Anolis sagrei: one gene and its partner. The protein of the gene in region 2 interacts with the protein of the main gene of each other region in a pairwise test. Links are inferred from orthologs where the notes say so. Each region holds a gene or a part of one and is shown on either strand. Other genes may lie near its edges.

Region 1 (7,668 bases), on a different chromosome or scaffold from region 2:
TATTTTAATATTTAGATAAATGTTTTTTAATGTTTATGTATTGTATCCAGACATTGAATGTTTGCCATGTATATGTTGTGCTCCGCTCCGAGTCCCCTTCGGGGTGAGAAGGGTGGAATATAAGTGCTTTAAATAAATAAATAAATGCGGGGACTTGAAAGAAGCTTCCCACAAGGATGATAAAAACATCAAATCATCTGGGCGTCCCCTGGGCAACGTCCTTGCAGACGGCCAATTCTCTCACACCAGAAGCGACTTGCAGTTTCTCAAGTCACTCCTGACACGACAAAAAATATTTTTTTGTATTTTTATGTTGTATATTTGCATTGCTATAATTGCTGGACTTGGCCTCACGTAAGCTGCCCCAAGTCCTCTTGGGGAGATGGTAGCGGGATAAAAATAAAGTTTTATTATTATTAAGACTGATATTTCAAATGTAATTTCTGTTGCTTATGGTACAAAGAGTATGTCTAATTGAGACTCGTGCGCCAACTGCAACCGTACCTCGCGAAGGCTGATCTGGCCGGGGTGGTCCATGCCTTGGTCACCTCTAAATTGGACTACTGTAATGCGCTCTATGTGGGGCTGCCTTTGAAAACTGCTCTGAAATTTCAATTGGTCCAACGAGCAGCGGCCAGGATGTTAACTGGTGCTTCTTACAGAGAGAGGTCAACCCTTCTGATCAAGGAGCTCCACTGGCTGCCGTTTATTTTCCGAGCCCAATTTAAGGTGCAGGTGCTTACCTACAAAGCCCTGAACGGTTTGGGACCATCCTACCTGCGTGACCGCATCTCCGTTTACGAACCCACGCATTCACTTCATTCATCTGGAGAGGCCCTGCTCGTGTCCCTCCTGCGTTGCAAGCGCATTTGGTGGGGACACGAGACAGGGCCTTCTTTGTGGTGGCCCCTCGACTCTGTAACACCCTCCCCAAAGATCTTAGACAGGCCCCTACATTGGCAGTCTTTAGAAAGAACTTGAAGACCTGGCTGTTCCGATGTGCCTTCCCAGAATAGGAAATCTCCAATACCAAGTCCCAGAAGCACTTTATTAGAACTAAGATTGTGGAACGCCCTTCCTGCGGACATTAGGCAGGCACCATCTCTCATGGCATTCCGAAAAAAGTTGAAGACCTGGATGTTTGTGCAGGCGTTCGAGTAATCTAGTGCAATATTGGTAACTGAACATAGGAATGGAACAATGGACGAAGAACCTGGACTACGCTTTGATGATGAGACGATTGGGCTGGTTATTGTAATAACTGTTTAGTGTAATTGCTTGTTGTTTATTAACTGGATAATGTGTTAAGTGGTCAATTGTTATATATGCATTGAATTACTGCTGTTTTTATTGTGCGTAAACCGCTGTGAGTTGCCTTCGGGCTGAGAACAGCGGTATATAAGCAAAGTAAATAAATAAATAAATAAATAAGGTTGCCGCACACTGCACTTACCCTATAATCCTTATATACCACCTGTCACATCAGCACTTTTAATTCTGTACCCATTACTCTGGCCCGGCCCAGTTTTATTGTGTTTTGGTGTATTGTTTATTGTTGTTGCTTTGTTGTCTAATATTGCTTTAATTGTTTTTGTATTGTTTTGGTGTGCATTGAGGCCTTGGCCTTTGTAAGCCGCATCGAGTTCTTCGGGAGATGCTAGCGGGGTACAAATAAAGTTAATAATAATAATAATAATAATGTCTAAAAGAAAAGGGCGGAGAGAGGTAGAGAAAGTAAATTAAAATGGACATAATTAAAAAAAACTTGGAACCAAAAATAAAAGAGATATTCTGGGTTATATGCAGGCGTGGGCAAACTCCGGCCCTCCCTCCAGGTGTTTTGGACTTCAACTGCCACAATTCCTAACAGAGGTTCCGTCCTGGGTCCAGTCCTGTTCAACATCTTTATTAATGACTTAGATGAAGGGCTAGAAGGCAGGATCATCAAGTTTGCAGACGACACCAAATTGGGAGAGATAGCCAATACTCCAGAGGACAGGAGCAGGATTCAAAACGATCTTGACAGATTAGAGAGATGATTGGCCAAAACTAACAAAATGAAGTTTAACAGTGACAAATGCAAGATACTCACTTTGGCAGGAAAAACGAAATGCAAAAATATAGAATGGGGGACAATGCCTGGCTCGAGAGCAGTACGTGTGAAAAAGATCTTGGAGTCCTCGTGGACAACAAGTTAAACATGAGCCAACAATGTGATGTGGCGGCAAAAAAAGCCAATGGGATTTTGGCCTGCATCAATAGGAGCATAGTGTCGAGATCTAGGGAAGTAATGCTACCCCTCTATTCTGCTCTGGTTAGACCACACGTGGAATATTGTGTCCAATTCTGGGCACCACAATTCAAGAGAAATATTGACAAGCTGGAATGTGTCCAGAGGAGGGCGACTAAAATGATCAAGGGTCTGGAGAACGAGCCCTATGAGGAGCGGCTTAAAGAGCTGAGCATGTTTAGCCTGAAGAAGAGAAGGCTGAGAGGAGACATGATAGCCATGTATATATGGAGGGAGGAAGGAGGAGGGAGCAAGCTTGTTTTCTGCTTCCTTGGAGACTAGGACGCGGAACAATGGCTTCAAACTACAAGAGAGGAACATGAGGAAGAACTTCCTGACTGTGAGAGCCGTTCAGCAGTGGAACTCTCTGCCCTGGAGTGTGGTGGAGGCTCCTTCTTTGAAAGCTTTTAAACAGAGGCTGGATGGCCATCTGTCAGGGGTGATTTGAATGCAATATTCCTGCTTCTTGGCAAGGGGTTGGACTGGATGGCCCATGAGGTCTCTTCCAACTCTTTGATTCTATGATTCTATGAGTTGAAGTCTAAAACACCTGGAGGGAAGGCCGGGGTTTGCCCATGCCTGGTTATACTGCTGTGCAGAAGGGCCCTTGGTGCAAGACAACTTTCCCCCCAGAAACACCTCCCTAGCTCCAATTCCCGCACTGGCCTCTAGGTGGCGACGTCGCACAACTGCCTCCCTCGGGGAGAAAGAAGAAGCCGGTATACCTGACGACGGGAAAGGCAGCAGGCCTGGCTTTTGTGAGGGATGGAGGGCTGAAGGGCGGGCCCTACGAGGGGAAACCGACCGAGGCCTGAGCCGTGACTCACCCCAGCCGGCTGTCAGTCGGGCGGGATCCCCCAAAACCGCCACCGCCACCTCCGCCGCTTCTTCCCGGCTTCAGCTCCCTAGCCTGACTGAGCAGCCCGTGGCTCCGCCCCCTCTCCTCACCGAAAATGGCGGCCCCTCCCAGCCCACAATGCACCGCGCGCTGGCCAAGACCATGACGTCAACTCCTCTCTCTCTCTCTCTTGCTCCCTCGCTATAGTAAGGGAAGGCAAGCTGAGTGGCAACGCGCATGCGCCAACGCTGATAGGAGGGTTGCTTTAGAATCATAGAATTATAGAATCAAAGAGTTGGAAGAGACCTCATGGGCCATCCAGTCCAACCCCCTGCCAAGAAGCAGGAATATTGCATTCAAATCACCCCTGAAGCTCTCTTCACTCACAGGCATAAACAGTGATATATGTATATATATACATGCATACAAGCATTGATTAAAGTCTTGAAAGGTGATGCTGTCAAGGGGTGCATGCCATATGCCAGCAAATATGGAAAACACAAGAATGGCCATCAGACTGGAAAAAATCAACTTATACCCCCATACCAAAAAAGAGAAATGCTAAAGAGTGCTCCAACTTCCGTACAGTGGCCCTTATTTCTCATGCCAGTAAGGTAATGCTCAAGATCCTGCAAGGAAGACTCCAGCAATACTTGGAGCGAGAGTTGCCAGACGTTCAAGCTGGGTTTAGAAAAGGTCTGCATAGTTAAAGCAATGCTATTCCCCGTAGTCACCTACGGATGTGAGAGTTGGACCATAAGGAAGACTGAGCGAAGGAAGATAAATGCTTTTGAGCTGTGGTGTTGGAGGAAAGTTCTGAGAGTGCCTTGGACTGCGAGAAGATCCAACCAGTCCATCCTCCAGGAAATAAAGCCCGGCTGCTCATTGGAGGAAATGATAGTAGAGGCAAAGATGAAGCACTTTGGCCACATCATGAGAAGAAAGGAAAGCCTAGAGAAGACAGTGATGATGGGGGAAATGGAAGGAAAAAGGAAGAGGGGCCGACCAAGGGCAAGATGACATCCTTGAAGTGGCTGGATTGACCTTGAAGGAGGTGGGGGTGGTGATGGCCAACAGGGAGCTCTGGCATGGGCTGGTCCATGAAGAGTTGGAAATGACTCAACGAATTAACAACAACAAACACACGCATTGATATATACATGCATACCAACATCGCCCAGATATGCATTTCCCAATGTTGCCCCTCCACACAAAGCCACATGTAACTGAATTATATAGTAGTGTAGACTCAGGGCCCTTCCACATAGCCATATAACCCAGAATATCAAGGCAGAACATCCCACAATATCTGCTGTAAACTGGGGTATCTGAGTCCACACTGCCATATAATCCATTTTCTCCTCTCTGCTCTGGGCTCCAGATGTGTTTAATGTTTTAGTTCAAAGCTGTCCATGATTTTAAGTTGCCCAATGAAGGGAATGTGTGCCAAGTTTGGCCTGCATCCTTCAAACTATCTAGGAGCCTTTGTGGTACAAATTTACAAACATACACTAAGTGGAATCCTATAGTTTTGTGACATTGAGTCATGTTGTTTATAGTGGTGTCAAACTGCATCAATTCTGCAGTATAGATGCACCCTTAATGTGATAAGGATATATATATATTTAATTTAATAAATAAGGGGCTACAATCGATAAGGCTCTCTGCCTAGTAGAGGACAGATGATAAGTCCGGATGATGGGGACTTCAAGCAAATTTTGGTCTTCGGACCGAAGTAATTTCTGGGGTTGGTAGGGGGATAAGCGGGTCCTCAGGTACGCCGGCCCCAGACCATATAAGGCCTTAAGATGCTAGCTCATGATCTCTCACAAACATGCTAGAATGCCAGAATTCGGAAATGCAGCCTCTTTTATACAGAATAATTTCAAATTTCCCACTGTGGCAGCATCAACTGTAGAGAAGCCCATTGGATGACCCTCCCAATTCTGACCAATCACAGAAAGGGGGCTTTGCTGAGCAGTCAGCTTGTGAAGAGACAAAGGGCATTGAGTGGCGATGAATGGGTTTCCCTCTATTCAACAGGAAAAATAATTAAAATGATTGAGGGGTCTTGGCCCTACCCAGGAAAAGTTTATTGTGTGCACGATAGTCATGGCAGAGCCCCATTTTTGGGGGGGGGGGGCGCGACCCAGAGGCTCTGGATCATGGTAGCTCAAAACAGGACATATTGGCACAATCATGCAAATGACAGAGGAGACGGTTCAGGTTTCCTTCCGTGGCAAGAGGTCCCACACAGAAAGGCGCATTTGTGAAAAGTAGCTACTTCCCCCAAAGCGGGTAGGAAGAGGCAATGGGGCCATCTTGTCCTGTGGGTTTATTTTGTGCATTCTTGGAAGGCATGAGATAAACCCACTACTTCTGGTGTTTGGACTGCTCCCTCAAAAGTTCTGGACTTTTGATGGGGCAGTCCAGATAGTAGTCCCACAGCTTTCCAGGCTAAATTAGTCCGGAAAACTGCAAGCCCTCCTCTCCAAAAACTCTGAAAAGCTGTTTACAAAACAAAAGAACTTACCTGACCTCCATTAGAGAGCTGTCAGGAGAAAGGGGGGGGGGGAGGAAAATCCAGGAGAAGGGGGGGGGGAATCGCTCCTGCCCCCCTTCTCCTGGTACTTCATTTCTACACTCCAGGAGAGCCCAGGCAGCTATCTAATGGAGGCCAGGTAAGTTCTTTTGTTTTTTAAGGGGAGGAGGTGCTCCGGGTGCTGTCTTGGAAAGTTCTGTGAGAACATCTGGACACCCATCCCAGAAAGCACATGCTTTCTGGGGTGTGTGTGGATTGGGGCCCAGGAACATTCACATTTTTAAAACACAAATGCTCCTAGGATAAAGGGCTGTGTGGAAGCGCTTGTAGTTTGAACTGCATTAGATGACAGTATAGATTCAGCCTTAGGCCCCTTCTACACTGCCATATAAAATCCAGATTATCTGTTTTGAACTGGAATATGTGCTATTGTAGACTCATAGAATCCAGTTCAAAGCAGATAATGTGGATTTTTGCTTTGATAATCTGGATTATATTGAAGTGTAGAAGGGACCTAAGAAGAGTTCTAAATCCTCCGTGCTGACATTATAGTAATGTCTGGCAGGGTTTCCTCATTTCAATAGGGTTACTAGGATCATCTAGGGCGGCAGTTCCCAAACTGTGTTCCGCAGAAGCCAAGGGTTCCACAAAAGCATTAGTAGGGATTCTGCGAAAAATCTTTGAATTACTTTTTTAAATGCCCATGCCAGAATATGAAGAACTTATTGAAATTCAATGTACATCTGATTTAAAAATGAAATTTGAATCCGTGCCACTGAATGGCTTTTGCGTAAGACTGATAGACGTATAGCTGTCAGTTGCTGCCGATCCAGCTTTTCAGCTTACACCAAATCAATTTTAATTGGATGCCACCCCAAATCTATGTATTCAGCTGTAAGGAATAAAGCCCAACTTCAAAACTATTTTAAGTACAAAAATTAAACAATTTATTTTGTCACTGTAGATGTGAATCCAATATTTTCCTGTACCAAACTAAATGTATATGGTTATAGCCAATATTTTCCAAATAAAAAGGTTTGTGGTTATATTTAAATTTATTTATCTTTATATCCAAACTTACTACATTATACAACACACTTAGGCCCCTTCTACACTGCCATATAATCCAGATTATCAAAACAGATAATCCACGTTATCTGCTTTGAACTGGATTATATGAGTCTACACTGCTATATAATCCAGTTCAAAGCAGATAATATGGATTTTATATGGCAGTGTAGAAGGGGCCTAACTGCATTGGCAGTGTAGAAGGGGCCTAACTGCATTATATGACTCTACACTGACCATATAACCCAGTTCCATCTGCATTATAATGCCAGTGTTGACAGGGGCCAAAGATATTCATATCATGATCTGATCACCATACTCAATATATCCCATATGCATGGGGGTATTGGGGTAACGATACAAAAGGTTTGCTAGGGTAGACCCTCTTTCACTTAGACTCAGCCCCCCCCCCCCGAAACAAACAGCCCCCCCCCCCCGAATCGAAATCCTGGCTACAGGCCTGAGCCCTTTCTTTATAGAATTCATTGTCTTGAGAATTCTACATTTCAGAAAATATTTCAGAGGAACTCAAAGTGCCACCACAAATCATTGCTGTCAACATTGGGCCACAACAGGTAGGCAGCTTGGGTGTCAACACTGCCCTAATCTAGCAGGAATCATAGAAGCCAACCTTGAAAGACCTGTTATATTAGCAACTTGTGGTCTGCAGATCATGATTTAAATGCCATCAGACTCATCCTATTTCCCCAGGCTGGTGTGGTGAAGACTAAAAATGTAATGCTGGAAAATTGCCAGGACTTGCAAGGAGTAAATGTCAGTTTCCTTAAAGGGATGCCAGATGAGCTGTAAGGTGAGCCCTTTTCTTTGGATCCAGCATTGGGGAGGAATTAGTAACTTGCAGTTTGATGAAATTTCTGGAGACAATCAGGGATAGCCAAGAATATCTTTGCTTCTATGAGTCTTATAGGG
Region 2 (7,899 bases):
AACAACCCAATGTATGTCCTTCACTCAAAATAAATGATTTTGTCATTTGGGAGTTGTAGTTGCTGGCATTTATAGTTCACCTACAGTCAAAGAGCATTCCGAACCCCACTAACGATGAAATTTAACCAAACTTGGCACACAGGGCTCCCATGACCAACAGAAAATACTGGAAGGGTTTGGTGGGCACCGTCCTTTGGTTTGGGAGTTGTAGTTCACCTACATCCAGAGATCACTGTGGACTCAAACAATGATAGATCTGGGCCAAACTCGACACGAATACTCAATATGCCCAAATGTGAACACTGCTGGAGTTTGGGGAAAATAGAATCTTGACATTCGGGAGTTGTAGTTGCTGGGATTTATATTTCACCTACAATCACAGAGCATTCTGAACCCCACCAACAATAGAATTGGGCCAAACCTTCCACACAGAACCCCCATGTGGGCCACAGCAACGCGTGGCAGGGGACGGCTAGTTAATAATAAAAGGATTGTTTCTGTTTAAACTATGAACCTATGGGTTTCCAAGGGAATAGGCATGTCAAAGGATAATGACATAATTACATGCTTTATCTGGCAAACACTCTCTTGCATTGCATTTAAGAAGTCATAATAAAACGTATTTAGTCTTCAAGGTGCCATTTGCTAATCTGAGGACAGATAAGCAGAGCTCCCAACATATGGCATTGAAAACTGCTCAAGATATAGTATAATTCTTGACTATTAAATAGCACTCTCGTGCGCATATTAAAACACCTTAAATGTTATCTCTGGGTGAACTCATTTGGGTGTGGACTTCTAAAGAAAAGGCCGGGAGGGGCAGAAATGCAAACATGTCAGACAAGGAATGCCGCCTCAATTGTAGTCATTAGACAAACAAAACTTTGGCTGTGATGACATCCCTCTGAAAAGATGAGTTGAAAACAAGTCTTGAGATTAGAAAGAAAAACCTTTATCGCTGTGCAAACAATAGCAAAGCAATAAGGCAGAAGGAGAGGCTTGATATTATTCTCTTCTTGGTCACCTGGGTGCATCTACACCAGGCCTGGGCCAACTATGGGCTCCAGGTGTTTTGGACTTCAATTCCCACAATTCCTAACAGCCGGGTTGACTCAGGCCTGATCTACATTGCAGAATGAATGCAGTTTTACACTATGTGAACTGCCATGGCTCCATGCTGTGCAATCATAGAATTCATAGTTTGGTGAGGCACCGGAAATCTCCAGCAAAAGAACATGTAAAGCTAAAACTCCTTATTATTCCATAGCATTGAAGCATGGCAGTTAAAGTGGTGGCAAACCACATCAATTGTACAGTGCAGATGCACCCTCGGTCTCTTCAGGAAAATCGTGGCAAGAAAAGCCTGTCACAGAATCAAAGAGTTGGAAGAGACCTCATGGGCCATCCAGTCCAACCCCATTCTGCCAAGAAGCAGGAATATTGCATTCAAATCACCCCTGACAGATGGCCATCCAGCCTCTGTTTAAAAGCCTCCAAAGAAGGAGCCTCCACCACACTCCGGGGCAGAGAGTTCCACTGCTGAACGGCTCTCACAGTCAGGAAGTTCTTCCTCATGTTCAGATAGAATTATTATTATTATTATTATTATGTTTATTGACATCCTGCTTTTTCTCTCCATAAAGAGACTCAAAGCGGCTAACATTAAAAGCATTACAATTTAAAACATACAAGCATACAATATAATAGTAATAACAAATAATAATAACCAATATATGATTATGATGTTTTATTTATATCCCACTTTTTTATTTATTTACTTATTATATATTTCTAGATCTGGGGAAGTAATGCTCCCCATGCTCTATTCTGCTCTGGTTAGACCACACCTGGAATATTGTGTCCAATTCTGGGCACCACAATTCAAGAGAGATATTGACTCTAAGCTGGAATGTGTCCAGAGGAGGGCGACTAAAATGATCAAGGGTCTGGAGAACAAGCCCTAGGAGGAGCGGCTTAAGGAGCTGGGCATGTTTAGCCTGAAGAAGAGAAGGCTGAGAGGAGATACGATAGCCATGTATAAATATGTGAGAGAAAGCCACAGGGAGGAGGGAGCAAGCTTGTTTTCTGCTTCCTTGGAGACTAGGACGCAATGGAACAATGGCTTCAAACTACAAGAGAGGAGATTCCATCTGAACATGAGGAAGAACTTCCTGACTGTGAGAGCCGTTCAGCAGTGGAACTCTCTGCCCCGGAGTGTGGTGGAGGCTCCTTCTTTGGAGGCTTTGAAACAGAGGCTGGGTGGCCATCTGTCAGGGGTGATTTGAATGCAATGTTCCTGCTTCTTGGTAGAATGGGGTTGGACTGGATAATGGCCCAGGAGGTCTCCTCCAACTCTTTGATTCTATGATTCTATAAGTACAAGTTACTAAAATGATCAAGGGTCTGGAGAACAAGCCCTATGAGGAGTGGCTTAAGGAGCTGGGCATGTTTAGCCTGAAGAAGAGAAGGCTGAGAGGTGATATGATAGGACGCGGAACAATGGCTTCAAACTACATGAAAGGAGATTCCATCTGAACATGAGGAAGAACTTCCTGACTGTGAGAGCCGTTCAGCAGTGGAACTCTCTGCCCCGGAGTGTGGTGGAGGCTCCTTCTTTGGAAGCTTTGAAACAGAGGCTGGATGGCCATCTCTCAGGGGTGATTTGAATGCAATATTCCTGCTTCTTGGCAGAATAGGGTTGGACTGGATAAAGGTCCATGAGGTCTCTTCCAACTCTTGGATTCTATGATTCTAAGAAACTGAAAGTGGCTAATTTTAAAAGCACTGCATTATTATTATTATTATTATTATTATTATTATAAATAATTATTTTGTTGTATTTATCCCTCGCTTTTTTCTCCATAAGGCAGGCTCTGGGACAGGGTGTCTGTCACAATGACTGACAGGCCTCAAAGGATGCCAATTGTATGCAAGGCCATTTGGAAGCCTTCTCTTCGACTACAAAACCACCCACAGCCCTGCGAGGTGGGCCTCTTCGGAGGCGGTTCCTTCCCCTTGGGCCCAAGGCAGGCCTCTGATTCCCCTTTGAGGCCCACATCCCATAATATGCCCCTTTATACTCACCCAAAAGGGAGGAGGGGGGAAAAAAAACCCGAGAGAGGGCGTCCCTTCAGCCCCTCCACAACACCCTCAACCGGCCATTTTGTAAGAGCTACGACCTCGCCCCGGAAACAGTCTCCACCAAACAGGAAGCCGATAGAGACCACCGACGAAGAACAACAGAAACCGCTACTTCTGCACATGCGCAGTGGTTGGCTGGAGACGGCGGAGCACACTGCGCACGCGCCAAGGAGGTCTCCTCTCTCGGTTGGGAAAGGTTTCTCCGCGACTCGCTGAGCTCAAGAGTGCGCATGCGTATAGAGGGGACAGTCTATAAATGATTCAGTGGGCGGGGTGCATGCAAATGAAGGGGCGGGGAAATGCAAAACGAGTCCTGCTTTGGAGTCCAGAATGGGTTTCTTGGAGGAAGAACCTTGTGTACATTTTATTTCTTTTGCATAATTATAATAATTTTTTGCAACATAATAATATATAGAAATAATGACATTGTAATGTAATAGTACTATTATATTATATATAATATTCATGTCGTTGTATAATATATTCTATATATTATATAATATAATACTATTATATATGATATTAATGTCATTATATAATATAATCTATATATTATATAATATAATACTATTATATTATATATAATATTCATGTCGTTATATAATATATTCTATATATTATATAATATAATACTATTATATATTCTATATATTATATATAATATATTCTATATATAATATAATATAATACTATTATATATGATATTAATGTCTATATCATATATTCTATATATTCTATAATATAATAGTATTATATTATATATAATATTCATGTTGTTGTATAATATATTCTATATATTCTATAATATAATAGTATTATATATGATATTAATGTCATTATATAATATATTCTATATATTATATAATATAATACTATTATATTATATATAATATTCATGTCGTTATATCATATATTCTATATATTATATAATATAATACTATTATATTATATATATTAATGTCGTTATATCATATATTCTATATATTATATAATATAATAGTATTATATTATATATAGGAGCCCCTGGTGGCGCAGTGGGTTAAAGCACTGAGCTGCTGAGCTTGTTGATCGAAAGGTCGCAGGTTCGATTCCGGGGAGCGGCGTGAGCTTCCGCTGTCAGCCCTAGCTTCTGCCAACCTAGCAGTTCGAAAACATGCAAATGTGAGTAGATCAATAGGTACCGCTCCGGCGGGAAGGTAACGGCGCTCCATGCAGTCATGCTGGCCACATGACCTTGGAGGTGTCTACGGACAACGCTGGCTCTTCGGCTTAGAAATGGAGATGAGCACCACACCCCAGAGTCAGACATGACTGGACTTAATGTCAGGGGACTACCTTTATCTTTACTATATTATATATAATATTCATGTCATTGTATAATATATTCTATATATTATATAATATAATAGTATTATATATGATATTAATGATTATATAATATATTCTATATATTATATAATATAATACTATTATATTATATATAATATTCATGTCATTATATCATATATTCTATATATTATATAATATAATACTATTATATATGATATTAATGTCGTTATATCATATATTCTATATATTATATAATATAATACTATTATATATGATATTAATGTCGTTATATCATATATTCTATATATGATATAATATAATAGTATTATATTATATATAATATTCATGTCGTTGTATAATATATTCTGTATACTACAACTTGTGATCTTGTAATGTAATAACACTATTATATTATATATAATATTAATGTTATATAATATATTTTATATACAACTTATGATATTGTAATGTAATAATACTATTATATTATATATAATACTAGCTGCCCCCTGCCAGGCGTTGCTGTGGCCCAGTCTGTTGATCTGGAAAATAAAAGGAATGAGAAAGTGTTGGTTTCTAATATATGTAATTTCTTTATGCTTGTGGGTAAAGAGTATTTCTTGTTGTTTCTTTGTCAGTGTTGTGGTTTGCCCACCCTGGAACATGCAACATATCACTGTCCTTCTTTAAGGGTCCCTTTCAAATCTATGATACTATATCTGTGTGAATCATATCATATCATATCTATCTATCTATCTATCTATCTATCTGTGGAGCCCCCGGTGGCACAGTGGGTTAAAGCACTGAGCTGCCGAGCTTGTTGATCGAAAGGTCGCAGGTTCGATTCCGGGGAGCGGCGTGAGCTTCTGCTGTCAGCTCTAGCTTCTGCCAACCTAGCAGTTCGAAAACATGCAAATGTGAGTAGATCAATAGGTACCACTCTGGTGGGAAGGTAACGGCGCTCCATGCAGTCATGCCAGCCACATGACCTTGGAGGTGTCTACGGACAACGCTGGCTCTTCGGCTTAGAAATGGAGATGAGCACCACACCCCAGAGTCAGACATGACTGGACTTAATGTCAGGGGACTACCTTTACCTTTACTATCTATCTATCTGTCTATCGATCTCTATGGCTGGATGGCTCTTTGTCAGGAGGACTTTGTTTACGTGTTCTTACCCTGATGAAGAGAGTTGGATTGGATGGCCTTAAGTATTTTCTGTTGGTCATGGGGGTTCTGTGTGGGAAGTTTGCCCCGATTCTGTTGTTCGTGGGGTTCAAAATGCCCTTTGATTGTAGGTGAACTGTGAATCCCAGTGACTACAACTCCCAAATGTCAACTCCAAAAACTCAAGGTCAATGTCCACCAGACCTTCCCAGTATTTTCTCTTGGTCATGAGAATTCTGCGTGCCAAGCTTGATTCAATTCCATCATTGGTGTTCAGAAGACTATTTGATTTTAGGTGAACTATAAATCCCAGCAACTCCAGCATTACCAAATGACAAAAATCAATCACCCCCAACCCCACCAGTATTCAAATTTGGGCATATCGGGTATTTGTGCCAAATTTGGTCCAGTGACTGAAAATACATCCTGCATATCAGATATTTATATTATGATTCATAACAATAGCAAAACTACAGTTATGAAGTAGCAACGAAAATAATGTTATAGTTGGGGGTCACCACAACATGAGGAACTGTACTAAGGGGTCGCGGCATTAAGAAGGTTGAGAACCACTACTCTAGATCATAGAATCACAGAATCAAAAAGTTGGAAGAGATCTCCTGGGCCATCCAGTCCAACCCCATTCTGCCAAGAAGCAGGAATATTGCATTCAAATCACCCCTGACAGATGGCCATCCAGCCTCTGTTTCAAAGCTTCCAAAGAAGGAGCCTCCACCACACTCCGGGGCAGAGAGTTCCACTGCTGAACGGCTCTCACAGTCAGGAAGTTCCTCATGTTCAGATGGAATCTCCTCTCTTGTAGTTTGAAGCCATTGTTCCGCGTCCTAGTCTCCAAGGAAGCAGAAAACAAGCTTGCTCCCTCCTCCTCCCTGTGGCTTCCTCTCACATATTTATACATGGCTATCATGTCTCCTCTCAGCCTTCTCTTTTTCAGGCTAAACATGCCCAGCTCCTTAAGCCACTCCTCATAGGGCTTGTTCTCCAGACCCTTGATCATTTTAGTCGCCCTCCTCTGGACACATTCCAGATTATTAAATATGGTTTTCTGTGGATGAGCAGATGGTGACTTCTGGATGGCATGTGTTTTGTATCGGATACTAGAGCTGATGTTGTCTATCCAATGCAAATTTTCTGAATCAGCATGCCAAATAACCAAACCGAATCTAAAGTTGGCCAAAAACTGATTTGTAACCCTTTTAGCACTAATGTTGGAGAGTGGACCCTGGTCAAAGTGGCCCCTGGTCAAAAAAAAAAGTTTGGGAACCACATATTCAAAAGGATATACATTTCCCCCCCCCCCCCCCCCGCCCCCGGTGGTGCAGTGGGTTAAAGCACTGAGCTGCTGAGCTTGTTGATCGAAAGGTCGCAGGTTCAATTCCGGGGAGCGGCGTGAGCTTTCGCTGTCAGCCCTAGCTTCTGCCAACCTAGCAGTTCGAAAACATGCAAATGTGAGTAGATGAATAGGTACCGCTCCGGCGGGAAGGTAACAGCGCTCCATGCAGTCATGCCGGCCACATGACCTTGGAGGTGTCTATGGACAACGCTGGCTCTTCGGCTTAGAAATGGAGATGAGCACCACACCCCAGAGTCAGACATGGCTGGACTTAATGTCAGGGGACTACCTTTACCTTTACCTACATTTGTCCCATTTTTCTGCTTTTGTGCAGCTTTTCTGTTTTGCCACAGGGTGGCAGCCAATCACTGAATATGGAGACTATCAAGAGAAAAAGATTTCAATACAAAGTAGGTAGCAAGTAAAATAATACATTCAAAAAAGTGATATATTTTCCCAGCATCTGGCCATGATATATATATATATTTAATGAGCGGATATATAAAGTGGGGTTATAGCCACAAAAAGCTTGTGCTAAAATAAAGCACTCTTAAAGTCTTTCTCCCCTTCTCTTCCTCCTTTTAACATTCCTAAATATTGTTTATTTGTTGTTGGATATTTTGATTCATAGCAAACATCTCACAGCGTCTTTGGGGTTGAGAGAGCGCGACTTGGTTGGGGTTTCATGGCCAAGCAGGGATTCGGTCCCCAGACCCATCCACACTGTAGATTTAATGCACTTTAGCACCACTTGAACTGGCAGAATTCTACAGTCCTGGGACTTGTGCACTTTCATATCATGCAGCTCAATTGCACTGAATTGCATTATATCATGGCATGGGCTCCTATAATGCAGGTCAGTGCAGTTAAATTGCATTATACGAGCCTACAGTTCAGTGCAGTTCAAT

What was found.
Region 1: the proteins of BNIP2 (region 2) and KLC1 interact in binary tests that used the Homo sapiens proteins (3 or more experiments, as listed by UniProt). The two-hybrid records come from large-scale screens. The link is inferred for Anolis sagrei from reciprocal best matches to the Homo sapiens genes BNIP2 and KLC1.

The regions. Positions count from the first base shown.
Region 1 is NC_090021.1:327,287,949-327,295,616, forward strand, and holds the start of KLC1 (kinesin light chain 1), read right to left. Parts: upstream 3,252-7,668; 5' UTR 3,118-3,251; intron 3,038-3,117; exon of another isoform or gene 3,016-3,037; intron 1-3,015. UniProt on the Homo sapiens protein: Kinesin is a microtubule-associated force-producing protein that may play a role in organelle transport. The light chain may function in coupling of cargo to the heavy chain or in the modulation of its ATPase activity.
Region 2 is NC_090029.1:4,524,438-4,532,336, reverse strand, and holds the start of BNIP2 (BCL2/adenovirus E1B 19 kDa protein-interacting protein 2), read right to left. Parts: upstream 3,250-7,899; 5' UTR 3,085-3,249; intron 1-3,084.